Linked DNA regions of Macaca mulatta. The protein of the gene in region 4 interacts with the protein of the main gene of each other region in a pairwise test. Links are inferred from orthologs where the notes say so. Each region holds a gene or a part of one and is shown on either strand. Other genes may lie near its edges. The genes, in order: RBFOX2, CA8, PRKAB2, MAGED1, KPNA2, SMAP2 and PITX1.

Region 1 (4,036 bases), on a different chromosome or scaffold from region 4:
TCTGGATCTGCCACTTTTTTGCTGCAGGATTTAACTAAGGTTCAGTTTCATCATCAATGAAATGGAGATCATGGTATCTACCTATATTACCAGTTTGAAATGGGTCTGTGGATGCATTGTGCAAACCCTAAAACTCTTACAAACATCGGATATTAGTACTAACTTCATTAGGAATGTGAGTTATGTCAGAGTAAAAGCTCTCAGAGCTGGGGTGAACTACAGACGGGTGGCTTCATTCCTCGACCTTCCAATTCGAGATCTTTTTCCTTCTGCGGGAGGGGAAGCAGGCAAATAGCCTGCCTCTCACAGAGTGCCCATTCCCTCCCCGGGAACCAAGGTGCTCAGGCGGGTAAACTCAGGACACAACACTGTACAACTAGTACCACAGGCAGGAGCCACTCCCTGGCCCTCGGGTCTCTCAAGCCCCGCCTGCTCCAAGCTACGGCCCCGCCCCAAAAGGAGACTGACCCCGCCCCCTCTGCGCTGGCCGGCACTCCTGCCGCGCGGAGCCTCCAGGACAGTCCCAGGCCCGTGCCGGAGATTCCCGAGCTTCCCCGATCGCTTCCCAGCCTCCCTCGGGCAGCTAGCGAGGAGGCGACGGAGATTGCCGAGAAGGGCTGGCCCCGCCCCTCCGCAGGCCGCCACCGCCCCCCTAGCCATAGCCTCCCGCGCGGGCTGGAGTCCTACATCCCGGTCCCTCCCTCCCTCTTTCTCTCTCCCCGCCTTCCCGGTGCTGCCACAGTGGCGGGTCGGAGGATCCCGGCCAGTCAGCTCGTTCCTGCCTCGCGCCCCTCCTCCCCCCAAATAAACAGCCCTCCCTACGCCTTGGGAGCCCGGACCGCCCCCTTCCTCCCTCGGCCGGCGTGTTGTGAGGGAGAGTGTGAGCCAGCGCGGCCGGCGGGCGAGCTCCGGGAGTGCGAGAGGCGGGGCAGCGCGGCGGGCCGGGCCGGGTGTCGCGTGTGCGTGCGGGGGTGCGAGCGAGTGCCCGTCGCGACCCGCCAGTGGCCCCGCGCCGACAACCCGGCGGGCGGGCGGGCGAGCGAGCGAGCGAGCGGCCAGGCGAGGAGCTCCGGGCGCGAGCCGCGGAGGGGCGCGGAGTCCGCGCGCTCGCGCGCACGCACGCACGCACGCACGCGGGGGGCGGGGGCAGGCGCGCGCCCGCCTGTCGCGACAGTCGGGGCCGAGGCCCAGGGGGAGGTGGCCTGTCGCGGGTCGCCCGGCTCCCGGAGGCGAGGGGGGCGCGGGCGGATGGCGGAGGGCGCCCAGCCGCAGCAGCCGCCTCAGCTCGGGCCCGGCGCCGCTGCCCGGGGCATGAAGCGGGAGTCGGAGCTGGAGCTGCCGGTGCCCGGAGCGGGAGGAGACGGAGCCGATCCCGGCCTGAGCAAGCGGCCGCGCACTGAGGAGGCGGCGGCCGACGGTGGCGGCGGGATGCAGGTGACCGCGCGGGACGGGGCGCCCAGTTATTGCGGGGGAGAGGGGGAGTGGCGTGAGGGGCGACCCCGGGCTCCCCGGCTTGGAAAGAGGGAGGGCCTCCGGGGGTCCTGGGTTGGAGGTGGGATGGGGGGACCAGTCGGGGCCTGGTTGGAAGGTGGGACGAGCTCGGGCTAGGAACGAAGGTTGCAGGACTGATCCTGGTGTGCCTGAGAGGGTCCTGATTCCTGAGGGGCGAGGAGGCACGACGAGTGGATAGGTTTTGGGGGGAAATCGAACGTGGTTGAGATGGATTCCATTTCTTCAAATCCTTCCTTAGTGCCCTGGGGTGGAGTGGAAGCCGGGAAATCCTGGGTTCTCTGGACGGAGTCGAGGAAGAGGGGATCTCGTGGGAAACCTCCCAAGAAGAGGGAGTACCTTTTGGCAGCCCTGGGCACCCGCTGGGATGGGGAAGAGAAGTGGCGTTTCAAGGAGAGGAGTGAAAAGCAAGAAAACTCCGAGAGAGAGCCCCGAGGGGATGTGGCTGAGATTGTGGGTTAAAACACACAGAGTGTGTGAGAAGTACAGGGAGTTTGGTAATGTTGTGGGGACACGGTGGTGCTCAGTCTCATTAACTTTGTGGAGCATACTAATGAGTCTGAAGGGAGACACCAGACATGTCCCTCCTGTTCTTTGCCAATTGCATTCTACATCTCCAGGACACAAAATAGCTCTTTAATGTCCTGGGCTATTAAAAAAAAAATTTTATAGGGCTATTATAAGACTGGATTCTCAATTCTGGATTCAAAGATAAAAGTGGTTAATTTGGGTAGGGAATGGGAAAGGTATTGATGATGTCAGTTGACTTCATAGTTTTGAGGAAGACCTTGAAACCTTTGTAGGTTTTAGGGTTTGGTCTCTGCCCAGAAAATACTGCTATGAAATGGTGAGTCTCACCTATCAGCAATTGTGCAGACATGTGCCTAGTTCTCTCAGAGTCATAGGATGTTAGAGGGATGAGGAAGACTAGACATCTTTTCCAGGGGTTCTTAACCTGGACAGACTAGGAAGATTCTTACTTATAAAAGGTGATGTGCACTTTTTGGTGGCAGAGAGTCAATAATTTTCATCTTTGTTTTTTTTGGAGGGGATTTGAGTCCCAGCTTGTTTTAACCACCTTATTTTATAGATGGGGAATCAGAAGTCCAGAGAAGATGAGTGACTTGGGTAAGGCCACCCAGTTAGCTGATAGTAAAACTAGAACCAGAAGCCTGGTCTTCTAATTCCTATTCCTGTGCTGTCTCCATTACACCACTCTTGGAAATCTCTGCAGTGCTAAAAGACTTCCTGTGCTCTGCTCCCTGCTTTTCAAGCCTCTGCCTGACTTCCTGTGTTAGGGACGGAGCTGTACTTAAGCCTAGCGTATTTGTTGTGTGCTTCTTGGTCTCCTTTGCAGAGTTTACCCTGTTACTTGTGTTGATTTAGGTAAAGTGACCCTCTTGGTGTTTATTTTTGAATTCTTTTGTTTTGTTTGCCTGCTTTTATTTTCCATTAGAACTCTGTCAGGTAGAGGGATTGTGAGAAGTAAAAGCTCAGGGCCATGGAAAAAAAGACAGGAATATGGGAGACTGCAGGTGAGGTGAGCTAATATTGGATGGTAAGGAGGGAAGACTGGATATAGGTGCTGGTGAGCAGGTTCTACTTTGTGTGTGTGTGTGTGTGTGTGTGTGTGTATGTCTGTATGTATTCATTTATCATTTCTGTCAATCATAGTTAATAGTGAGACCCCCATCCCTTTCCCTCATTTACTCCTGGGGCCTGTTATCTGCTGGTTGCCTTCAAATTGGCTAAAGATAGTGATATTCGGAAATGGAGCAATATGTAGGGACTTCACAGGGCTGTGCAGAGGAAAGAGTGGTTAGGTCCTTGGGGGTAGCTGAGAACTATCCCTCTGAGAATCCTTTTTTCACTCTGTGTATTTGTGGGTGTTCTTTGTTTATTTTCTTTCTATACATTTTTTTTTTTTTTTTTTTTTTTGCCCAGGTTGGAGTGCAATGGCACGATCTCGGCTCACTGCAACCTCCACCTCCACCTCTGGGTTCAGGCGATTCTCCTGCCTCTGCTTTCTGAGTAGATGGGATTACAGGCATGTGCCACCATGCCCAGCTAATTTTTCGTATTTTTAGTAGAGGGGGGTTTTCACCAGGTTGGCCAGGCTGTTCTCGAACTCCTGACCTCAGGTGGTCCACCCACCTCAGCCTCCCAAAATGTTGGGATTACAGGCGTGAGCCACCACACCCAGCCTTCTGTGCATTCTCGTTGTTGTAGGTCCATTCCCCTATGTCATACAGGTATTCAGATCATCACTGATTTAGGTCCTGCCTTCAACTAGCTGAGTGCCTGCAGAAATCTTTCATTTTGGGGCCTCTGTTTTCCTTAGCTATAAAATAAAGTATGTGTACAAGATGATTTCCCTCGTGATCTGCCCGCCTCGGCCTCCCAAAGTGCTGGGATTACAGGTGTGAGCCACCACGCCCGGCCGGTTTCTAAGTTACCTTCTAAAAGATATAAGTCCAGTTCACTGTGCTTAAGGTGCATGCAATCTATGTGGGGAAACAAATGGGTG
Region 2 (3,500 bases), on a different chromosome or scaffold from region 4:
GTATCACTGACGTAAAATTATACAGCCATGATTTCCAGCCTCTGAAGTGGTACTGGATATCGTATCCGGTCATGAGCAATTTTATATTTAATATTAAGCACATACACAGTTGGGAATGTCAGAGAAAAGACTGGAAGACCAGTGGCCCCCAAAACATACTCTTACATGACACTAAAGGGCTATTTTCTGGGGTAAACTGAGGTTCCTTCTAGAAATATCATCAAGACCTGACTGAATCCAACATGCCCTCACTTTCACCAGTGTGGACTGTCTGTCTCCACTGTGCCTGGCAGTGGGCAAATGATGGGAGTAAAAGTGGGGTGAGAGGGAGCTCCGTTCCTCAGGAGCTCACAGGCAGCGAGAAAGACGCTATGAAGACTAAATGGTACAACCCATGGGGCCAGCGCCGTGGCAGTGCCCTATCAAGCATATAGGGAGCACAGAGAGACAGAGGAATTCTGCCTAGAGAAGAAACTAGAGAAAAGTCCCACAGAAGACATAAGATTTCAACTGGCTATCAAAGAAAGAGCAGGAGTTAACTAAGAATGTAAGTCGGGGAAGAATGCTTTGGACAAAAGAATCACTCTCGAAAAATCTCTCTTTCTCCCTCCCTCCCCCAGTGGCTTGGGGTGAATAAAAGCAACCCACCAATTTTAAACTAGCTAACCTAGACTTTTCATTACTGTTGCAGTTTCTCCAATGGTTGTTTGTCTTCAGCTCGTCACCCATTCATAGCATCCATAAAAGTGACCTACTGAATTTGCAGAGGCAGAATTTTTACAAGAATAGTAACACTAGGGTCAAATTTAATACTGTAGATTGCCTTTCTGGCCATATGCTCATGGCACATGCCAAGCCACAAGAGTAGATGGGAAGGAAGCTTCATGTGCTGCCCTAGGCTTCTATTGCATTAAGCATTTTTAAAATTTTAGTATAAACTGATAAAATGCAAGAGCTATGCATCTACTTTTAAACTAAATCATTTTCAGTAAATCGCTGAATACTGTATTCAGAAAACAAGATTTTTACAAGATGATTTGTTACTCTTACCTCCATGGGAAAAGCTTTGAAATTAACCGTGTGCTCAGAACCACGCTGGTTTTCTCTTCCCCAGTGAAATCTCACTTCATACAGTTCAAATTCATGCCCTTGAGGCAATGGTCCTCCCGAAAGAACTGAAAAAGAAAATATATGTTACTGAATTACATCACACATTTACCTCAGCATTATAAACATTAGAGACTTTTTTTTTTCACCAAAATGCTCTCATGGGTTCTACAGATTAAATTCACAAAGTCAAAATGAGAAATTTACCACAACTGTGAGGTGAATTTAAACTATCTAGGCTTGGCTGAAATTCTTGTCCTGGCCATTCAGACATAGTAGAAGTTCAAAACCTCTGAAAAACTCATAATGATATGTATATTTTAATTTCCTATGTGTTTTCAGTCTAGAAGTAGACAAGGAAAACAAATTCCTCTCTTAGAGATTTAAGCTTAGCACTGATCAAGAGACAAAAAATATGGTTTAACTCTCAGACTGACCAATAATATTCTGTAGATGTCTAAATAAATTAAACTACATTTGCAGATCATCCACTTGTACTAGGAGGCTTCCAATTTAGAGAATTGTGGTGTGGACTAACAAAACTATCCATGAAGAGGATTGATTAGCATTAAGTCAATCAATAATGAAATTGCACTTCAATAGCTGATGGACATTCATTACCACAAATGACACAAAATAAAACTGCAATAAAATATTAACAATACTCAAAATATTAACATCAGTCCCACAAGATCATGTCTTTTTCTCATTGTTGGATATGATCAAGACCTTTGTCCCCAACAAGGGCACACTAAAGGATAATGAAAAATACATTTGCATGAGAACCTGTCTCAAAACAATAAAATTCTTTAGTTAAAAATTCCCTGACAGCATACATACAAACTTGAAATAAAGTTTCCTACAAACAAATGGTCAATTTCAATACAAATAAAAGTTGTTTAACTCAGGGCATTTTTCCTCTAGCAATTCCCAATTCTGAATAGTATCAGCTAAGAATTTTAGGTTATTTAGCTAACAAAATTCAACACCTTCCCTTTCCTAGAAGTAGACTTTTTGAAACAGATCATCCTTCACATTTGGGTTGCCTTTGAGGAGGACATAACAGATTCCACACCTCTTTTGAGGAAGAGTTCTGTCATTCATCCTTATCCTAAAACTCAAAGAAGAAAGCAAATTGGTGCAACAATATTTACTTGTTTGGTTGGTTCTTCATCTAAAGACTTGTTCCAAAAAGGATTTAAGGCTGCTTATGTCAAGGTACATACAATACAGTCAGACAGCATAAATTTGGAAAAAGAACAAGGGGAAGCAAAGAAAGAGGCTGAAAATAGATGGAGAAATGAGGCTATCAGACACAATGGAGGTCATGGAGTCCTTGATAAAGGTACCCCACAAATCTGCTCCCAAGCTTTCTAACAGCTCAAACAACAAAGACAAGCAACATCCAGAGCAAGAACTAACTTTAATTTTTTGAGTGGATACACTTCACATCAAGGGGAAGGGAAGTGAGATTCATGGCCTTTAGGATCACAGTGTCATGCATGATTTTAGATTTTAGTGTTTGTCCTCATGCTTGGTCTGACACGTCACACAACAAATCCAAGGGGATAGTGTTATCATCAACCCCACAGACAGGGCAGAAAAGTGGGATGAGAGGGGCTAAGTGTGACCTGCCACAGTCAGCCTCCTAGCAGGCCCCAGGACAGGACCTGGAGCTCGAATCTTCTGACCTACATTCCAGGGGTGAGGCAGGGATAGGGAAACCCAAATGTCAGTATCTGTGAGCATGAACTAAAAAATAATGACTTATCTAAGCCTAGATTTATAAACTGAAGTTGCTCCTTGGAGAACTGCACTTTATCCTATTTCCCAGAATAATCTAAAAACTTGTAATACATGGATCAGAAAGGTTTGTAGATACTCAGAACCACAGTGCAAGCTCACTTCACCTTCCTCTCCAATAAACATCCATTCTGTGGATTTAAGAATGTATGAAATGTTTTCTAAATAACCTCACAACTCATGCTTTTCTCTTGGCTGTCCAAATTTGGTCTTAAGAAAAACCAGGACTGAGACTAGGAGTCTACCCACTGTGTACCCCACCTCCCACACCAAAAAGGAAAAAGAGAACGAGAAAATACACCCCTCGCCACCCCCAGCAACAGTGGGGCCCAAGGCCTCAGCGGGTGAGCTCTATAACACCACTTCTAAAACAAAGCGATAAAACTGTCCTAGAAAAGGCTCAGCTCCACATGGCTAAGGAAGAAGAAAGAGGAGCGTCATGAAATGAAGCACATGTGACATGGGAAAGACAATTTTTAAAACTCCTTCCCCAAAACCCCTTTATCACATACACTCAGAACACACACACACACACATACACACACACACACACACAAAGGCACATGGTATTTCTAAAACTGTTCTGTTAC
Region 3 (4,208 bases), on a different chromosome or scaffold from region 4:
CCCAGTTCCCTGGGAAGTGACGAAATGATAGGAAACATCAAACACACCCCAATCTCCTCAAGCCCTCCATTTTTCTATCTCATCCAGTCAGTCTACCTGGAGAAACTACATGTATTTCATGCTGACAGCTCTAAAAGCGATTAGAAACATTAGAATGGTAATCGCTGCTATCAGCTCCATCTGTCCTTTCTTACAGAGTGAAAAAACAAGTTGGCTCTTCCTGAAAGTCCTTGGAATTGAGAGCAAGGTCTTCAAGGCAGCTATGGATTGTCGCTTTTTAGCCACGCAACATTTTGAAGTACTACTGGAGAGTAAACAAGTCGTGGAATCATTGGCTCTTCCACCTGCGGAGCAGCAGCGGGGCGTGAAAGAGGCACAGCCTCAGCCACCACAACTATAAAGTATGGGACAAAAATTAAGCAGTCAACCAAATGATGTCCTTAATTGATCCCCAAGACTAGGGGAAAGTATTCAATAAGCAAGTAGTTGCTGCTTACAGCCGTGCCAAAAGGGAAGAAGATCACAAGTGCAGAGCTGCTAGAAGGGCAAAAATGATACTGATACATAGAAATTTTCAGAAAAAGAATTTCATGTAGCCACCTCAGGGCAAAGGTGAGAAACTACCACCTATGGTCAGCAACTCGTGCAACCTACCCTCTGAAGTTGTCCACCAGGGCTAACAAACTACAAATTCAGCAACGCTATAGAGGAGAGCCACTCGTGCATGTTAGGAAGAACCAAGGATCGGGGATGTCTATTGTCCCCATCCTAAAAATGTGGCCAACAGATTAGTCAGAACACCAGGAAAACAAGAACTCCGCCTCTTTATCCTATTTTGAGGCGGCACTGCAAGAGGGATTACCATCCAACACCTCTGTCCCCGAAAAATCCTTTTAATTCAAAAAACCATAGCCCGGTTCGGCGCGGCAGAAAAGAACCAAGAAAGGGAAGAGGAGCCCGGAAATCAACCCGCTGCAGTACTGCCACCAACTGCGGGCGTGGGACGCTTACCTTGGAGTCGGGGAGGCTGAACACGCTGGGGTCGTCCGTACTGCCCACCATGATCTTGTGCTCCTTCCCCGGGGCATGACCGCCTGCGCCCTCGGAGCGTGCAGCCTTGGCACCGTGGCGCTCCCCGGACACCCGGTCGCTGGTGGTGTTTCCCATGGCTGCAGCTCGTCGGGGACCACCTACCGCGGAGAACCACACCGGGCTGGGAACACCTCAGTAGCCGCGTCAGGGGCGCCCCCCGGCCCCGCCCATACGCCTTGGGACGGGGCAAGGGATTTCCCCGCCCCAGGGAGGCCAAGCCCCGGAGCCTTCTCCCTCCTGGCCTGCGGGAATGCCTGCAAATACCCCGGTGCCCTCGCTGCCCCTAGTCAGGAAACCCGCTATCGGGACTCCCCCGCGTCCCCGCGCTCACTGCCAGGGGCGCCCCCACGCCAGTCACCTCGGGCGATGCGCTCCCTCCTCCAGGGACCACTGAAGTGATGACTGTTCTGCAGATCAGGCCACCAATAAAGTTATTGAAATTGAAGCCGCACCCCTCGCTGGCGATCAGCGATTCCTCCTAAAATGGCTACAAGGCCGGCGGCGCGGAGTCGGCCCCGTGCGCGTTCCCTGCGGCCTGCAGCCTCGGCGTCCCGGGCCCGCCGGCCTCTCTAGCCGCCGCCGCCTCGATGGTGGGCAGTCGCACGCAGCCTCCAGCGCCAGGAGGGGGCGCCAGGCAGGGCTTGTGCCGCCTGGGGAGACTGCACCCGGGATAATTGGAGCGCTGGGCCTCTGAGACTACCCGGCGGAAGGGACGTTCCCACAGGACACTCGGAGGCCGCCTCCCTGGGCTCCGGCGCTCGGTGCCGGGAGAAGCGACGCGGCTTTCTACCCCGCCTCAGGTGCGCCAGCACGTTTTCTGGGCAGCATCTGTGTGTTAGGCGACGGGAGAGGGGGGTTCCTTACAGGGAATAAGAAAACTGAAACTGACTTCCAACTGCAGGCAGAAGGAAGCAATGGCCATTGCTGGAGGTTAAAACTGTTCTGGCCGGGCGCGGTGGCTCACGCCTGTAATCCCGGCACTTTGGGAGGCCTAGGCGAGCGGATCACGAGATCAGGAGATCAAGACCATCCTGGCCAACAAGTTGAAACCTGGTCTCTACTAAAAGTACAAAAATTAGCTGGGCGTGGTGGCGCGCGCCGGAAGTCTCAGCTACTGGGGAGGATGAGGCAGGAGAATAGCTTGAACCCGGGAGGTGGAGGTTGCAGTGAGCCGAGATCGCGCCACTGCACTCCAGCCTGGCGACCGAGCGACACTCCGTCCCTCCGCCTCCCCGCCCCCCCCCCACAAGAAAAACCTGCTCAATAGGGAGCGACAAGGAAGGAGCTGTCAGCCCGACTGGGGTCGCAGGGAAAATTCAAGATGGCGTATTTAGGAGCTAGACCTTGACAAATTAGTAAAATGTTAGTCTTAGGAGAATAACGAAAAGGCTTTCCTAGTCTAAGAAACAGCATATGCAGTGAGAAACCTCAGAAGAAATAAAATTCAAGGAAGATGGCGACAACGAAAACATCAGAAGGAACCCTAAAGGTATAAAAAAGGCAAAGACAGTCGTAGGGTTGGGAGGGATCCAGGTTTTTTATGAAAATTAGTGGAATCCCTAAGGTACTTACCTTTGTATTAGAAGTATTTGCATGTCGCCTTCTCTACTAGAAACGTTTATCTGTGTTACACAGACCAGCAGCGTTGGCATCACCTGGGAGCCTGTTAGAAATGTAGAATCAGGCCCCATCCCCAGGGTTCAGAATCTGCATTTTAACAAGATCACATTAACGTGTGTGAGAAGCAATGCTTTGACAGCTGGCAGAGAGCAGATCCAGATTTGATACCTTTTCATATTCTGCATGTACCTTGTACAGAGCAGGCTTTTGTATTTGCGGAATGAAGGATACAGGAATACTGTTTACTGTAATCCATTTCTATCAAGATATGCCACTTAGGCTTAAACACGGCCAATGATGGAGAACCCCAAGTTACATAGGCCACCCTTTCTGAGTGAGCAGCTCTATTTGTTGAAAAGTTCATTTTTATATTATGAAGTTGACAGCCCACTTAAGTACAACAAATTCACTACTCCCCCATTCTTTGCTCTGCCCCTTATAAACTCATTCTTTGGCTCATAAACCGAAGACAGTTTACAGGAAGGAAAAAAAAAAGGTACGATTTTACTGCAACTTCTTGCTCACCCCTCTGAAATCTTTACTGTCTGAGTACATTCTTTTTGGTTATCCCTACCTTTCTCCCTCCACCCCTCAATTCCTTACCATAGGACACTGAAGCAAGGCCCTTCAAGGTGTGATACATTAAACCTTGACTTGTGTAGTATTCAGTTTTCTGACCCCAAGGTGGTTTCACCATGCCAAATAATATGTCCTTGGTATGTATTTCCTTGCAGTAGTGAAATCAGCTTAGCAGAAACAAACTAACTATGTTAGCCAATGGAAAACTGAAGGAGAGAAATAAACTGTTTTTACACAGCTAAATGGAAATGACTTTTGTATTATCTCCTTTGGAAGATTATCCATGACACTGTTCTGCCCTGCTCTGCTCTAACAACATTTGTAAGTTACTCAACAGTTAATAATAAAAGTCAATTTTGAATATTGCATGTTTTAGACACAGAACAAATGTAATATGACACTGTAGGAAGAATGAATTCTCCTTAGTCCCAAATTCCTTTTTTTTTCTTAGATTCAGGAATAAGTAGGTAAAGATACAAGATCTTCTTAACCAGTATCAGTATAATTGTTCCCTTTAGATTTATTGCTGTCACCCCAATGCTCTTCTTTCTTTTTTTTTTTTTTTTTTTGAGACGGAGTCTCCCTCTGTCGCCCAGCCCAGGCTGGAGTGCAGTGGCGCGATCTCGGCTCACTGTAAGCTCCGCCTCCCGGGTTCACGCCATTCTCCTGCCTCAGCCTCCCGAGTAGCTGGGACTACAGGCGCCCACAACCGCGCCCGGCTAATTTTTTGTATTTTTAGTAGAGACGGGGTTTCACCGTGGTCTCGATCTCCTGACCTTGTGATCCGCCCGCCTCGGCCTCCCAAAGTGCTGGGATTACAGGCGTGAGCCACCGCGCCCGGCCCCAATGCTCTTCTTTCTAAAGGGAAGGAAAAGAAGGGGCTAATAGGAAAAGTAATTGGTGGGGGTTGTCCTGAT
Region 4 (3,500 bases):
TCACCTGGAGTTCCACCTCCGCTGTGTTCTTAAGTGCAACTGTCTGAGCACCTATACCCTCTCTCACTATGCAATTCTCGCAATGTCACTCCAGGACACCTAGCAGCATATCTGTCACATGAGAATCACTTAAGTGATATTTATTGAATAAACTATACAAGTTCTTGGGTCTCGTGTTCATTGATACTGCCTTTGTATCCCAATCCAGTAGCTGGATCTTCCCATATTTCCACCTGCTGAAAGCTGATCTACCCCCTTCAAACTAGAGCCGAGGTCCTGTCTCTCCCACATAAACATGTTGCTCGCTCCCCAAATATAGGGAAAAAAAGAAGCAGAGAGCACATCTAATTCACTTTGCAATTTCAATGTTTATTTCTGATACCAAAACTTGACAGCACACAAGGGGAAAAAAAGCAGTAGACAAGGAACAGCAAATAAATTTATCTTGCATGCCACTTTCAGTCAACACGATGTGGCTCTCTAGATAGCTGTGTTTAGAAGGAATCTGAGGCTTCAGCCTCACACAGGGGAAAGACTATTGCGATTGATAGCAATATCTGTGAACATAAGAAAAAAAAGTAAAAAAATCAATGATATATGTCAAATAATAAGGAATATACACACCAAAGAGTGCTGCCCCATACTTTCCTCACCTCCCTACAATGAGTTTCCTAAGACTCCTAGCTCATGCACATAAATACAATCCCATGGACCCTATATCCCCCAGAGACCCTAACTGCCCAATCCAAAGTGATGTACCTACCCAACATCTCACTCAACCCAGAAGAAACCAATGGCACCAAAGTTGGCAGCAAAGTTGGCACCGGCTGTACCACCAGGACCAATAATGGGACCAGCAAAGGTCTGAGGAAATCTGGAGCGGGCGTTCTGATGGTATCTGGCCCAGAAGGTAAATGGAATTCTGGACCAGGGATCTCCAAAATCTCCTTCCTCATCCCAGGTCAGCAGCTCAAACTCAATATCATCCCAGCTCCAGGGCCCAGACACAGCCTCATCTCCAATTCCCATGCGGGTTCTTGCTTCAGCCCGGGCTTCGGCCTCAGCTGCAGCAGCATCCAGAGCATCCAAGGCCTCATCTGCAGCCTCCATGAACTGTGCAGTCCAGTCACGAGGGTCTCTTTTCTGAACCTGAGATGAGGAATAGAAAACAAAACAAAATCTATTTACAATAGCCAAGATACGGAATCAACCTACGTGTCCATCAATGGATGAATGGATAAGGAAAATGTGATACACACACACACAGTGGAATACTATTCAGCCTTTAAAAAGAAGGAAATTCTGCCATTTGCAACAACATGGATGATGCTGGATGACATTATGCTAAGTGAAGTAAGTCAGACACAGAAAGACAAATACTGCATGACTTCACTTATACATGGAATCTAAAAAGGTCTAACTCATAGAAACAGAGAGTAGAATGATAGTTTCCAGGGCCTGGGGTCAGGAGGGATGGGGAAATATTGGTTAAAAGGTACAAAATTTCAGTTAGATAGGAAGAGTATGTTCTGGAGATTGACCATATAGCATGATGACTATAGTTAATAATAATATGTTGTTTATTTAAAATTGCTAAAAGAGTACATTTTAAATGTTCTCATCACAAAAAAAAAATGTCAAGTATATGAAGCTACGGAGAGTTAACTAGCTTGATGTAATCATTCCGCAATGTACATGACATGTATTATCAAAACATCATACTGTGCCCCATAAATATATATACTTTTTATTAGTCAATTAAAAATAAATGAATGTGCTGGGTACAGTGGTTCACGCCTGTAATCCCAACACTTCGGGAGGCTGAGGCAGGCAGATCACTTGAGGTCAGGAGATCGAGACCAGCCTGGCTAACATGGCGAAACCCTGTCTCTAATAGAAAAATAAAAATTTAGCCAGGCATGGTGGTGGCACGTGCCTGTAATCCCAGATACTTGGGAGGCTGAGGCACAAGAATCGCTTGAACCCGGGAGGCAGAGGTTTCAGTGAGCCAAAATCGCGCCACTGCACTCTAGCCTGGGCAACACAGCAAAACTCCATCTCAGGAGAAAATAAATAAATAAAACAAAACAAAATACTTAAAAATTACATTGTACACCATAAATATATACAATTTTTGTCAATTATACTTTAGTAAAGTTGGGAAAAAATAAAAATACTTTAAAAACCTAAAAAAAAAAAAACCAAAACAAACTCATAATTGTATTAGCTAATATATTAACATATGTTAGCACCTAATGCATGTTAAGTTTACCTAACAACAACAACAAATACCACCAGCAATGCAGCACCTACCACGTGCCATACCTAGGATCTCATTCCTACCCTGGACCTTTCCCAGCCAGCGATACTTCATCCCTTGACCTATCAATGCTGGTTGGCACATTACCTCTGCAATGAATCTCAGCACTTTCATCTTGCTAGTCTCATGGTAGGAACGGAGGCCCCAGAGGAACTCATACTCTGGGGGGTTGCTGTTGGGCACTCGTCTGTAGTCCAGGTATCTGAAAGAGCAAAACAGTCTTTGTGTCTACCTACCCGGGCAGAATGGTAGTCCAGTAATGAAAAATAATCCTACATTTTTTAACATCAGATTTCAAATAGCAACTCCCCCTCGGGCTCATTCCTGAACACCATCAGGGTATTTACCCCTTAATCATCAAGCCTTGAATTCCTGCACCAGAACACTAAGCACTCACTTAGAGCTGCAGGCGACGCTTGTATAGGGTCACAGAAAGGACAACATTTCATTTCACTCCTTCTGCCTCAGCTCTAGCTCCAGATTTTTGTAATCTTGTCAGTGAGCCACAGAGGTCCATTGAAATGATTACAATGTAGTGCAAAAGTGTCAGCCTGGCCCAGCCTTGGGAATGTCTACTGTGGGGATGGTGGATGGGCTTCACTTGCAAGACAACTACTTAGAAAAGTAGAAAAATTAGAAGAATTCTGGCTGGACATGGTGGCTCACACCTGTAATCCCAGCACTTTGGGAGGCAGAGATGGGTGAATTGCTTGAGGTCAGGAGTTTGAGACCAGCCTGGCCAACATGGTGAAGTCCCATCTCTACTAAAAATACAAAAATAGCCGGGCATGGTGGCAGGCACCTGAAGTCCCAGTTACTCAGGAGGCTGAGGCACAAGAATTGCTTGAACCTAGGAGGTGGAAGTTCAAGCGAGCCAAGATTGCGCCACTGCACTCCAGCATGGGCAATAGAGTGAGACTCAGTCTCGAAAAAAGCAAACAAAAGAATTCGCCGGGTACGGTGGCCCACGCCTTAATCCCAGCACTTTTGGAGGCCGAGGCAGGAGCATCACCTGAGGTCGGGAGTTCGAGACCGGTCTAACATGCAGAAACTCCATCTCTACTAAGAAGACAAAATTAGCTGGGCGTGGTGGTGCATGCCTGTAATCCCAGCTACTCAGGAGGCTGAAGCAGGAGAATCGCTTGAACCCAGGAGGCAGAGGCTGCAGTGAGCCAAGATC
Region 5 (4,043 bases), on a different chromosome or scaffold from region 4:
TATGAACTCTGGCTGCTATACAATGAATGAGGCTGGCATTAATGACTGCAAGAATGGACAAATTTGGTGTTTGAATTTATTTATAGTAAGAAATAAACCATGACAACTTTTCTAAAATGTAATCTTTTAGAACACAAAAAAATTGCAGAAACAAAAATGGCCCATAATCCTGATGCTCTGTTGACCATCTTTGTTTTGTTTCTTCGTTTGAGCATATGGCAAAAAATGCAAAATTCAGAAATGTGTAACGAGCATAGAATGTTACTGGAACAATTGACAAAACTTGAACACAGACTACATACTAAACAACAGCATGAAATTTCAGTTTTTCTGAATTTGACGACTGCAGTGTGGTTATGTAAGAGAATGTCTTTTCTTAGGAGATACACCGTGAAACAGAGGAAAAAGGACATGATTCTGAAACTCTCAAATGTTTCAAAAAGTAACATATTGAAATCACACATAGGTACACATGTGCATAGGTATACATATATATGTATAGAGACAGCAGTAGCAAATGTGTTAACATTTGGCAAATCTGGATAAGGATTTGCAATTCTGCTGCATTTGAAATTATTTAAAAATACAAAACTTGAGTGTTTGGAGAAACAGGAATAAGAAATATTTTGTTACTATATTTGCGGCTTCTATACAGTCTTTTACGACGCAATTGAAAAAAAAAACTAAACTAAAAAATATAACATAAATCTTCCCTCCCATAGTGGCCAGAAACCCCTGCCAAGTTCTTCGGATATCGTAACAGGAAAAAAATGCAAAGCAATATGTCTTTCTATAAAGATTACTTATTTACTAATTATCATTTTTTAATTTTCATGAAGATCAACAACAAAGTTTTTTTAAAATAATGACTTTGAGAATCATTTTGCGGTATTTGTTTAAGGCTCTCGCCCAGGAAAACGCCCAGGGACCATGCGCGCTTCAACCCAGTGGAAACACGAAAGGCCCAGGGACCGCCCCTTCGCGTTGCTTGACGGGATCTGGAGTCCTCCCGCTCCGCCCTGCCAGGCGCTCGGGAACCGCCCGTCTGCTCCCTCATCTCGCGATGCCATCCTCCTTTTTTTTTTTTTTTCCCCCCTCCCACTCGCCCCTAAGCCCTATGACTCCCTCCCCTCTCAACGTGTTTTTCAAATCCACCAATGGGCACACAGCTTGGGCTCGAACCAGCCAATCGGAATGCGGAGTCACCGGGAAATTTAAATCGCGCCGGCCGGCTGCACGAGCCACACGGTCTTTGAGCTGAGTCGAGGTGGACCCTTTGAGCGCAGCCGTCCCACAGCCGCTGATTCCCCGCATCGCCTCCCGTGGAAGCCCGGGCCCGCTTCTCAGGTACAGACTCAGGCGGCGGCTCGGCCCGAGCGCTAACGGTTTGCCCGCGGGCGGCGTTCGCCTTTGGGTGGGGGGAAGGAGGCCCCGGGTCCACGCCGAGCCTGGCTCAGCCTCCCGCGTTGTCTAGGCCTCGGGGGCGACTGGTTCATTGACCAGGCGGCTGAGTTTCGCGGGGTCTGCGGGTTTAGGGCGCCGACGCTCTTCAAACGGCAGCGGAGACCATAACGCGTCGCGGCCGGGAGAATCGGAGCGAGCCAGGCCTGAGGGCGAATGTCCCGGGAGGGCTCGTGGCGGCCCTGGCCTCGCTTCCCCCTTTCTTGTTGCATCTTCCCCGACGTAGGGGCAGGGGCAGGGGCTGGGGGTGGCAGTTGGGAGCACTGTCTCTGACACTTTGGCCCCGGGGTGGCTGTGCCACCAAGTCGTAGGCGAGCGTAATGAAAGCAAAGATAGCAAATTGTAAGGAGGGCTTTGACTTTTGTCGTCTTCTGAATGACGCACAGCTGATGTCGTCCTAATTAAGTGCATTCGCTCCTAGTCTCTGGAAATGCAAATCAAATATGCGACATGCGGCACTGCATTTTTAATGTTGACCATAATGTAATGATGAAGCAAATTTTTTTTAGTTTTCGAATCTGCACCTATTTTGGCCAAGTAAAGACAGTAAAGTAGTGCGAGCCTCCTGAGAATCTGAATTTATTGCCCTGGCACATAATTTTTAGCTGTAAGTTAACTTGGTTCCCCTGCTTTGCCTTGGATTAACTATTAGGGACTCTGGAGTATCGAGCCAGGCTGTCAGAAACGGTGGACACACGTGGCTAGTCCAAATTGAAATACGCTGTAAGCTTAAAGTACACAAAAGACTTCAAAGATAGAGTATGGAAAAAGAATGTAAAAGATGTCAGTTATTTTATATATTGAAATATATATGTTGAAATACTATTTGGATATGTTGGGTTAAGTAAAATAAATTATTGAAATTAGTTTCACTTGTTTCTTTTCGCCTTTTAAAAAGTATGGCTACTAGGAAGTTTCAATTTATATAGCTTGCATTCTATTTCTGATGGACAGCCCTCTCCAGGAAGTCTCAGCGCTTCAGAGGGAAGGGGGACAGTTCCCGTTTGGGTAAAGCTATTTCATAGTGCTGAAAGCATGATGATCCCCCCTCTAGTATACAGGTGTGGATTCAGTAGATGCTTGATAATTCAATTCTTATTTGGTACTATTATTGACAAAGGAAAATGATAAAGGAAATATTTTTTCTCCTCGCCCATCTTTTAGCTTTCTCCCTTTGTCTCATAACCATGTCCACCAATGAGAATGCTAATACACCAGCTGCCCGTCTTCACAGATTCAAGAACAAGGGAAAAGACAGTACAGTGAGTACCTTCTGTTGCTTTCCTGTGGTGGTGTTTAAATGGGAGGACATTTGGAAAGGGGTGAAAACTTAGGGATCTTTTTAAAAATACCCTCACTTAGCAACAAAAACTGATGTGATAGGTGAAACGGCATGTTATCTTTTCTCAAGGAAATGAGGCGTCGCAGAATAGAGGTCAATGTGGAGCTGAGGAAAGCTAAGAAGGATGACCAGATGCTGAAGAGGAGAAACGTAAGCTCATTTCCTGATGATGCTACTTCTCCGCTGCAGGAAAACCGCAACAACCAGGTAAAAAATGTATTTTGGTTTATGAGTTACGTGAAATCCAGAAAATCAGTAGGAACTTTTCTTAGAAATTCAAGTAAACTTAACATTTTTAGCCTTAGGTTGTAACTATCTGTGAAGATCTTTTTCTCTGTTCCCAATTAGTAATTGTCTTCTTTCCTGCCTTCCATAATCCACTGAAGCTGATTTAGGATCTTCCTTTAGCTCTGACCTTCCTTCAGACTTCCCTGCATTTCTAGCTGCTAACTGGGTACCTTGACCTGACCACTGTGTCCAGAGCCAACCAGTTTCTGGTTTATTCTTTTTTTTTTTTTTTTCCCTAGACGGGGTCTTGCTTTGTTGCTCAGGCTGGAGTGCAGTGGCACAATCTTGGCTCACAGCAACCTCTGCCTCCTGGGTTCAAGCAATTCTCCTGCCACAGCCTCCTGAGTAGCTGGGATTACGGGCACGCACCACCATGCTTGACTAGTTTTTGTATTTTTGTTTTGTTTTGTTTTTTTGAGTTTCCCTCTGTCGCCCAGGCTGGAGTACAGTGGTGTGATCTCAGCTCACTGCAAGCTCTACCTCCCAGGTTCACGCCATTCTCTTGCCTCAGCCTCCCAAGTAGCTGGGACTACAGGCACCTACCACCCTGCCCAGCTAATTTTTTTCTATTTTTAGTAGAGACGGGGTTTCATCATGTTAGCCAGGAAGGTCTCTGATCTCCTGACCTCGTGATCCACCCGCCTCGGCCTCCCAAAGTGCTGGGATCACAGGTGTGAGCCACTGCCCGGTCTGTTTTTGTATTTTTAGTAGAGGCAGAATTTCACCATGTTGGCCATGCTAGTCTTGAACTCCTGACCTCGTGATATGCCTGCCTTGGCCTCCCAAAGTGCTGGGATTACAGGCGTGAGCCACCAGGCCCTGCCCGTTTTTGGTTTATTTCTGCCTTTTTTGGTATTCTCTCTTTTTTTGTATTTGTCACCAGCTTTGTTCAGGACTTTCCTTCTGAAATATTTACGGTAGCCTCCTAAGTTATCATTTCCTCCTTTCTGTG
Region 6 (3,995 bases), on a different chromosome or scaffold from region 4:
TTCCGATAGCTCAGAGAGGGGTGAGTTACCTTTACCAGCTAAAGCTACTGCTCTCTCGGCAGAGAGGAATTTCAACTCACTACTTAATTGCCATGGCATAGGGAAAGAACAAGGGGCTGGAAATCCAAACACTTGCGAGGCTACTGCCGGCTCTGCCCAGGGTTCCCTAGTGGACATCAGCCAACCATGTCCTTTCTCCGTGTCTCAGTTTCTCCATCTGTGGGGGAAAGGCATGCCACTCTGATGTTCTGACTCTAGCAGGTGCCGATCTTCGGAGTTCCCTCAGTTCACAGCTCTAGACGCCAGTGGAGAGAGGCCCCCTTTCTGACTGCTGGAGCCTGGGCCTCGCCCTTGGGTATGAGAAGTACAGAATTTTCCAAAATACAGTAAGTGAAAGAATTGCCTTTGGAAAACAGAAAACCTGAGTGTAACGCACCCTCCTCCAAGAGTGACGCACAGTAATGGCCAAGCAAACAGTCCTTCCCTGCAATATTTATTAAGGAATTTACACATACACAGGAGAAAGGCAGCCAGGAACTGTAGTTCCCACACATGAAATCTTTTAAGCAAAGTTTTCTTGTCTGAATTTTCAAGTGGGGTGAACAATGACTGAGAGGAAAGCTGTCCCGGCCTCTGCCTCGTACACCTGGGAACAGTGGGGAGACAGAGCACCCGGATACACAGGCATGAAAGAGTCATCAGCAGACTGGGAGAAGGGAGGGGAGAAAGGGAGTTATCAATGACATGGCATTTTTTAAACTGTAAGAAAAACACAACAGTTTTAGGCTGCTGATAAATTAACTCCTCTCTGTTGTAAACCTAAAACTAAACAAAAACAAAAATACCCAGAGCAGATGGGGAGAGGATGGGAGGCGGAACACACATACACACACACACACACACACACTCTCACGTGCACACACAAGCAGTACACGTTAAGCTCTGCATTCCCACTCTAGGGGTTTGTCCTCCAGCCACGGAGCCAGATCCTACTGAAGGCAGGTGGGAGGCAGGAAGGGATGTGTGTCTGTGTGTGGGATCTTCATAAAGTCTTTGGTGCTAATAAAGGCTGACTGAAGCAGCAAGTCCTGAAGCCCCAGATCCGGAAAGCAACTCAGGGTGAAGAGAGTAGAATTTTTGCTCATCCTCATAGGAGGGGGCTTGCCTCACCCCGGGGCTAGGGTCAAACTGACCCAGGGCCCAGGGAGTATTTAGTTTGATTTCAGTACTTGCTTCATTCCCATAAATCATGAGAACATGATGCTTCCCCTTCAAATTTAAACACTTAGAAACAGCTTATTAACATATATAGAAGGACCTCTAAGCTTTCCCGTTTGCCTAATATACAACACCTACAGACCCTTCTGAGAGTCTGACAGGAGCTTTAACCTTGAGGGAAGGTACTCAAAGGTGTGCACGTTTCTCCCACAGTTTAAGTGCCTTCTGCCAACAACCTCTAAGGTGCTGGTGCCAGGAGAGGACTGGGGAGGACGTTGGGATGGCTACGGGGCATGTACAACATAAAGCAACAGAGAGGTCTTCATGTTTGGGAAGTGGCTGGGCAGGATGCCAAACCCCAAATGACTTATTGAGCAATTTCTAAACCAAACAGAGAGGTAGGAAAAGAGGATGGGGGTCAGGGGTGGAGGCTGTGGAAAGGGGAGAGCGAGGGCTGAAGAGAATGGCAGCCATACAGGTGTTTTGTTTTTATTTCCACATCTGAGGACTGAGAGTCTGATTTGCTGCCTGTCCACTTCCGCCGCTCATTGACTGTCCATAGTTCATCATGCCATTGGCTCCATAGAAGTTCATCCCAGCCATCTGCTGGGTCATCTGAAAGGGAGAGAGGAGACTTTCAGACCAGGCCGTGGGCATTCTGCCAATTAGTGCAAAAGGCAGAGTGGGAGTCCCTTTCTCTGCCAGGATGGGGAGAATGAGACAAAGGGAAACTGTTATGGACAGTAAACCCTGGACCTTCGCAGTCAGATCATTTGAAGGCCATGTACATGAACGACTGTTTGGGAGTGCAATGTTGACAGAGACTAGAGCTCAGGGAGGGAAAGAAGGCATCCTGGCATCTGGATCTAGTTGACAGAAAATCAGCATGAGTTCCTCTCTTTTTCCTTTCCAGTTCCTCATCGTAAATAAAAGGGGCCTATTGTTAACTTGCCTGGCCAATCCTAAAAGCTGAAAGGCAAGCCCCCTCCCCAGTGCTCCCGCCTCATCTTCAGTACAGCTATTACTGTCAGTGTCAGGGAAAGCGCTTGAGCAGCCTCTTTCATTTGCAGAAGGGGGAAAAAAGGAACAGGACTGTTCGCAATGAACGAAGGCAGGGGGTAAAAAAGACTAATGTGTCTTCGGTGTATGAGAAGGGAAGGAGCTGGAAGAAAAGTCAGTGGAATAAGGCCTCGGGCAGGATAGGGCGGGGGTCCTTCATGAATTTGATGGAAAGACTGGCCCCCTAGCAGTGAGCAGAAAAATACTTTATGGAGAAAAATGCCTTGAATTTCCTGAGCCTAGTACATTTTCTATATAAATTCTTTTTCTTTACCAACTTTTAAAGTAAATTTCAAACTTACATAAAAGTTGAAAGAATAGTACAATAAAACCCATATATCTTCTTCCTTAAATTCACCAACTGTTAACATTTGCCATATTTTCTCTCCCTCCTTATATAAAAACTTACATTTTTTTGATGAGCATCAAAAGCCGCAGATTAAAAAAAAAAAAAAAAAACTGCAGCTATCGCGACACTTCACTCCTAAGTCAGGAGACACTTCATAAGAATGAACACTTTAACAGAACCACAAAACCATGAACACACTCCAGAATTTTAACATTAACACAATATTCTAATGTACATGGCATTTCATTTCCAGATCTCTGTAGTTTCCTTTAATCTAGAACAGTTTCCCTACCACTTCCTCCCATTTCTTCCTGACACTGACATTTTTAAGAACCCAGGACAGTTATTTTGTAGCATATCCCACAATTTGGATTCATCTTCTCATAATTGGATCCAGGTTAAATATTTTTGGCAAGATTCTATGGAGGAGATACGATGTCTTTCTTAGTACAAAATATCAGGAAGCACATGGTATTACTTTGTTCCATTGCCAGTAATTTGATGTTTGATCACTTGGCTAAGGTAGTGGCTATATTTCTTTCATTATAATTAATAAATAATCTGAAGGGCATTTCTTTGCAAATGTGGGAATCCTTTGTTCTTTTTACAATTACTATCATTCTTCTGTAAAGAAAGCTTTTTCTCCTTCCATTCCACACCTGGTTTTTAAAAAATATCACCATGGACTCATGGGTTGTTTTTTTTTTTTTTTTTTCCATTCAGTGTGTCATAATCCATTACTATTGTTACTCTTTTTGATGTTCAAAGTGTCTCACATTTGGCCAGTCAGAGCCATTGGAAGTTGGCTCATGTGTCTCTCTGACATATTCCCATCAGACTTACAGCATTCCATTACTTATGTAAATAAAAACGAAACAATGAAAATATGTGAATTAAAATCTCCACTACAAAAACTAGAAAATAACAAAGTAAACCCATAGAAAGCATATGGAAAGATACACCAAAAATTGAGGTAGAAAACAGAAAAATGTAGCACCAATAAATCAAAATCCTGGTTCTCTGAAAAAAATTAATGAGACTGCTTGGCGTAACTTTTGATAAATTTGAAAACCTCGGTGAAATGGAAAATCTAGGTAAATACAGTTTTCCAAAATTGACTTCCATAGAAGAAACAGAGAAATGTATCAAAGATTTGCTACAAAGGAAAGCAATAGGGACCACAAACTTCACACAGGAATTCCACAAAACCTTCAAAGACCAGTACTACGTAAATTATTCCAGACCACAGAGAAACAAAAACATAAAAATACTTTTTATAAATAAGTATAACCCTGATAAAGATAGCATATACATGCACATGTGCAGTACACATGCACCATACCACTTCTCTGGTATTACTTTGCCTGTC
Region 7 (4,208 bases), on a different chromosome or scaffold from region 4:
TTAGATAATTTAAATTCCCCAAATAACACCACTGTAAATGGATTTTGAGAAAATTCCGGAGAAACGCGCCATTTTGGATTGACTTTTTAAAATCTCCGGAAGAATAATGTTGCATGTAGATATTTTAAATTCCAGAGACCTACACTTAGTATATTAATTATTTCAAAATCGAAAGATAAAGTTAAAATTGTTAATTCATCCTCATAGATTTGGTTCAAAAAATCAATCTATGATTATATATCTCTCTAGGTTTTAAAAATAAAACCAACCAAAGACCGCACTTAAAACTTTTGAAAACAAAAGTATAGTTCAGCGTTGATTGTGTTTTAACCAAGCAAACAGAACCTCTCAGAAAAATCACTTAGGGATGCAAAAGAGAAACAAACAGATTAAGAAAGTGTAAAGAAACACTCAGCTGTGTATTAAGAAATGAACAGAAGAAACGAGCAGAAGAGGCGCCCATGCCGGGGAGCTCTGAGCCCCTCGGGGACCCAGGCGGCTGTGCTGGGCAGCGGATTCGCTACCCTACTGCCCGCGCCGGCCACCCCCGGGCCCAGTTCGCTGCTGGAAAAAAGCTCCAGCTCGTACAAAAAGGCAGCGCGGAGGGAGACGCGCCGGAGCCGGGGCGGGGGCCAGGGCCGGGCAGCTCCGGGCTTCGGCTGCACACGTGGGCCGGATCCCTCGATCGGGGTTCGGGCTGGCCTTGCTGGGAGTCCGGCCGCGCCTCTTGGCCCGCTCGCCCTCACCGTCTTCTGTGTCTTCCTTCTACTTGATGACCCCCTCTCCCCGTTTACCCTTCCCGCCCGCCCCTTCTCTTTGGCCTCTCTCTTTCATTCTGTCGCCTACTGTCACGGTGTTAGCCTCTCTCTCTGTCTCTCTGAGGGCGTTCTCTCGCCCGTCACCCCCATTCCTTTCTCGGTCTGCTCCTCTCCCTTCGTCCGAGTCGCTTCTTAGTGCCCAGTTGCGCAAATCCAATTTTCCCCCGTTCTATTTACTCCTGATCAAGAGGGGCTGTCAGTCCAACCCTCTAGCTGTAGGCTCATGCATCTGCCAGTCTGTTGGCGCGTGGGGACCGCGTGGAAGTGCCTTCGCGTATGCGTTAAGTTTCCGCGTTCACCATCAGGTCGAGAACGGGAAAAAGAAAGCTCCTGACGCTTCTGGGGCGGAGAGGGAGCTTGGTTGCACGGCGCGGGCGTCAGGCCCTGCTCCCAGCTCCCCGTGCCCCGCGCCCAAGTAGGCTCCGTGCGCGCCGCGAGGGGAACGGCGCTTACCTGGCAGCTCGGTGTCAGACGACTCGCTGGCGGAGTTCTCGAGCTGCTCGCGGTGGTCGGCGGGCCGGGCCAGGTGGAAGGCGGGCCCCATGTCATGGGGTGGCGGCGGCGGCGGCCGGAGCCCCTCCGGTAGCCGCTCCAGGCTCATGCCCCCCTTGAAGGCGTCCATGGAGGTGGGGACCGCGGCGGGCGCTCCAGGGGCCGGGGCTGGGCGCGCCCCGCCGCCCTGGCTGCGACCTGCGGGGACAAGAGCGCAGCGCCTAAGCAGCTGCCCTCCAGGGCTGCCGGCGCCCGCAGCGACGCCGTACCCGCCCCATGGACCGCCCGGGGCTGCGGGGCCGGGCGGGCAGAGGCGGCGGCAGCTTCTCGCGACCGGGCGCCTGGCTTAGCGCTCTGTGCTGCGCTTCTGCCGCTCGGGCCTCAGCAGCCGGGCCGGCCCCGGCTCCGGCTCCGACTCGCGATCCGGGGCCGGTTTCTAAGGCTCCGGACGGCGCCGGCAGAGTCTGTCTTAAAGCGACAGCGCGCACAGCCAGGTTCCAGCAGTCCCTGCGCCAGGGGTGCTGGGTGGGGTGGGCCTGGGTGGGAGGGGGCTGGGGAGGGAGCGAGCGAGCGAGGGAGCGCGGGCGGAATCCAGCCCCAAGCCGCCCGCGCCGCCGCGCCCTCTCTGCCGCCCTCCCTCCCTCCCTGCCTCGCCCGCGCCCTCCCCCTCCGCAGCCACCTTCCCGCCGCCTCCCCGCCCCCCGCGGCCTCGCCGCGCCTCTCCCTCCTTCCCCGGTGACACACCGAGTTCTCCCTCGGCCTCACAAAAGAAACGCATCTGGGCTGCAAGTCCCGGGCGGCTCGTGCCCACCTCAGGCCCCAAATGACTTGTTTCGCCTAGAATCAACTCCCGTCTCGGCCGCCTCGAAGTCCCCAGCGCTGGCGAGAACAGCCCAGGATGAGTGAATGTTTGCCGAGCAGGATCGCACGGAGCGGGCGCCTTCGAGCCAGCGCCGGGGCGGGGGCAGAGCCCGGGGCCCGTTCCGGCAGCTCCCAGCGGTGTCCTCGTCGAGGGGCCGCCTGCCCCTCCTTCTCCAGCCTCTTCTCCCGGGAACTCAGCCCGGCTGAGTGACAGCAGCCTGCGCTCTAATGGGCCCCCGGATGCTGCCTCCTAATTAGCTTGGACCTTCTCCCCTAAGGCTGCTTCTCAGGCCTCCCTCTCTGCACCGCAGTCAATTTTCCGGGATTGGGATAGAAATGATGGCTTCTAATCAGACGAAACGTTTCTGCTGGCTCTAGGCGTTTGGAGAATGCAGAGGGAAGACCCCAGAATCCCAGCCAGGCCCCACAGCCTCTTCTACCTCTCCCCTTGTTTTACACCTTACACTTTGGCCAAATGGGCCAGGCCTGGCCTTGGCAGGCATGGGGTTGGCCTTGGCAGCCTTTGCCCTCCTTCAGGGTAGCTTTGTCCCAGCCTGGGGCCTGCATCCTGGCTTCCCAGGGCTTCAGGCACAGGCCTGGTAGGCCAGGTGACTGCTGTCTCCCAACCCTGGGCCAGCAGCCCAGGAAGCCCTCAGTCTTCCAGCTTCTCTCCCACACAGTGGTAGCTGAGTTGCAGCTCCAATGGGCCTTCACTGGGCACAGGCAAAGACATTACTCTCCCACTCCCAAGAGTGATTCCCTCCTCAAGTCCTTGCACGTAGGTGAAGTTTGTCGAAGGATTTTGCTCAACAATTGTTACCTGGCCCCAAGACCTCAGCGTCTTGAGCAAACAGGCCACAGCTGGGGCGGCAAGGCGCCGCCCTGACCTGCTTCTCTGGCCATAGGCGGACCCCAGACTGCCCTCTGCCCCTCACCTGTGACCAGCTCCACCAGACACAGCAACCCAAGGGAGCAGCGCCAGGGAGATTGTCGGTCTGGGAAAGAAGCAGGGAGGTGTCCAGTGTCCTCACCCCAAAACCCAGTGCCTCCTCAACTCCTGGGTGGGTGGCACTGACTGCGCAGGTGTCGGCGTCTGGGGCACTCTGCAGGTTCTGCCTTTGAGTCCTCGCCTTACCCCTTCGCATCACAGGGAGACACCCACGGTCAGCTGAGCTCCTTGTGAGGGCGGCTGGGGCCAGGGGCAGGCACACAGGCTGGAACCAGACCTGCCTTCCATTCCCTCCATGTTAGTCCAAAGCACCCCTGCCCCCATCCCCCACTCTGGGCCATGGAGAGACAGCACAGCTCCTTAGGGCCTGGCCCTTTCTCACTGTGCGTCTGTGACCATAGAATGCAGGGTCTGAGGCCAGAGGGATGACACTTCCCAGGAGTTTGGGTTGGGGAGGCTCAGTGACTTCTGCCTTCTTCCAAGCTGAGATCTCCCTCCATGAAATGAGTCTTGGTCATGGGCAGAGGAACATGGGGAAGCACAGTTGCCCAGCATTTGCCCTCAGCCCCACCTTTACCACGTTTCTTGGAGTCTCCAGTAGAAGATCCCTCCTTTCAAGGAGATATTCAGGTGCTGCAGCATGCTGGGGAGTGTCCCTTCACACACCATTCTCCTTTTAGCTGTCTTATCCCATAGAACAGCCTGAGTGCAGACAGCATGGGGGCACGCGCGCACACGCACATCCTATACATCCATGCGGAGATGCTGTGCACACACATGTACTCACTGCACTATGGAAGCGCTGAGTTTAGGCATATGTGTGCTACTTGGCATGAACGCCGGCTGGCATGGGATAGGAGGTGTGTTCTAACCCCGCCACATGTCAGGCCAAGGTGGGAAGCACCGTGCGTCTCTGGGCAGAGACTTAGAAATGAATGATCTGTCTGTGGGCATCCAGAGGAGGTTGGGACTCATAGCCCCCTCACTTCCCAGAGGGACCAAAGTGACTCTTTGGGCCATCCCCCAGTGGGAACTGTTTTGTGAGCAGCACTCACTGCTTAGTCTGAGGGGCTGTATCCTCACTGTTA

What was found.
Region 1: the proteins of MAGED1 (region 4) and RBFOX2 interact in binary tests that used the Homo sapiens proteins (3 or more experiments, as listed by UniProt). The two-hybrid records come from large-scale screens. The link is inferred for Macaca mulatta from reciprocal best matches to the Homo sapiens genes MAGED1 and RBFOX2.
Region 2: the proteins of MAGED1 (region 4) and CA8 interact in binary tests that used the Homo sapiens proteins (3 or more experiments, as listed by UniProt). The two-hybrid records come from large-scale screens. The link is inferred for Macaca mulatta from reciprocal best matches to the Homo sapiens genes MAGED1 and CA8.
Region 3: the proteins of MAGED1 (region 4) and PRKAB2 interact in binary tests that used the Homo sapiens proteins (3 or more experiments, as listed by UniProt). The link is inferred for Macaca mulatta from reciprocal best matches to the Homo sapiens genes MAGED1 and PRKAB2.
Region 5: the proteins of MAGED1 (region 4) and KPNA2 interact in binary tests that used the Homo sapiens proteins (3 or more experiments, as listed by UniProt). The two-hybrid records come from large-scale screens. The link is inferred for Macaca mulatta from reciprocal best matches to the Homo sapiens genes MAGED1 and KPNA2.
Region 6: the proteins of MAGED1 (region 4) and SMAP2 interact in binary tests that used the Homo sapiens proteins (3 or more experiments, as listed by UniProt). The two-hybrid records come from large-scale screens. The link is inferred for Macaca mulatta from reciprocal best matches to the Homo sapiens genes MAGED1 and SMAP2.
Region 7: the proteins of MAGED1 (region 4) and PITX1 interact in binary tests that used the Homo sapiens proteins (3 or more experiments, as listed by UniProt). The link is inferred for Macaca mulatta from reciprocal best matches to the Homo sapiens genes MAGED1 and PITX1.

The regions. Positions count from the first base shown.
Region 1 is NC_133415.1:15,502,487-15,506,522, forward strand, and holds the start of RBFOX2 (RNA binding protein fox-1 homolog 2), read left to right. Parts: upstream 1-1,236; 5' UTR 1,237-1,248; coding exon 1,249-1,434; intron 1,435-4,036. UniProt on the Homo sapiens protein: RNA-binding protein that regulates alternative splicing events by binding to 5'-UGCAUGU-3' elements. Prevents binding of U2AF2 to the 3'-splice site.
Region 2 is NC_133413.1:70,909,312-70,912,811, forward strand, and holds part of CA8 (carbonic anhydrase-related protein), read right to left. Parts: intron 1,176-3,500; coding exon 1,051-1,175; intron 1-1,050. UniProt on the Homo sapiens protein: Does not have a carbonic anhydrase catalytic activity.
Region 3 is NC_133406.1:118,946,392-118,950,599, reverse strand, and holds the start of PRKAB2 (5'-AMP-activated protein kinase subunit beta-2), read right to left. Parts: upstream 2,801-4,208; 5' UTR 2,665-2,800; intron 1,497-2,664; exon of another isoform or gene 1,451-1,496; intron 1,191-1,450; 5' UTR 1,168-1,190; coding exon 1,012-1,167; intron 1-1,011. UniProt on the Homo sapiens protein: Non-catalytic subunit of AMP-activated protein kinase (AMPK), an energy sensor protein kinase that plays a key role in regulating cellular energy metabolism.
Region 4 is NC_133426.1:51,816,909-51,820,408, reverse strand, and holds the end of MAGED1 (melanoma-associated antigen D1), read right to left. Parts: intron 2,523-3,500; coding exon 2,408-2,522; intron 1,150-2,407; coding exon 772-1,149; 3' UTR 764-771; intron 558-763; 3' UTR 349-557; downstream 1-348. UniProt on the Homo sapiens protein: Involved in the apoptotic response after nerve growth factor (NGF) binding in neuronal cells. Inhibits cell cycle progression, and facilitates NGFR-mediated apoptosis. May act as a regulator of the function of DLX family members.
Region 5 is NC_133421.1:77,786,391-77,790,433, forward strand, and holds the start of KPNA2 (importin subunit alpha-1), read left to right. Parts: upstream 1-1,243; 5' UTR 1,244-1,347; intron 1,348-2,625; 5' UTR 2,626-2,648; coding exon 2,649-2,723; intron 2,724-2,872; coding exon 2,873-3,010; intron 3,011-4,043.
Region 6 is NC_133406.1:200,357,657-200,361,651, forward strand, and holds the end of SMAP2 (stromal membrane-associated protein 2), read right to left. Parts: intron 1,834-3,995; coding exon 1,708-1,833; 3' UTR 501-1,707; downstream 1-500.
Region 7 is NC_133411.1:143,947,457-143,951,664, forward strand, and holds the start of PITX1 (pituitary homeobox 1), read right to left. Parts: upstream 2,801-4,208; 5' UTR 2,089-2,800; coding exon 2,055-2,088; intron 1,509-2,054; coding exon 1,272-1,508; intron 1-1,271. UniProt on the Homo sapiens protein: Sequence-specific transcription factor that binds gene promoters and activates their transcription. May play a role in the development of anterior structures, and in particular, the brain and facies and in specifying the identity or structure of hindlimb.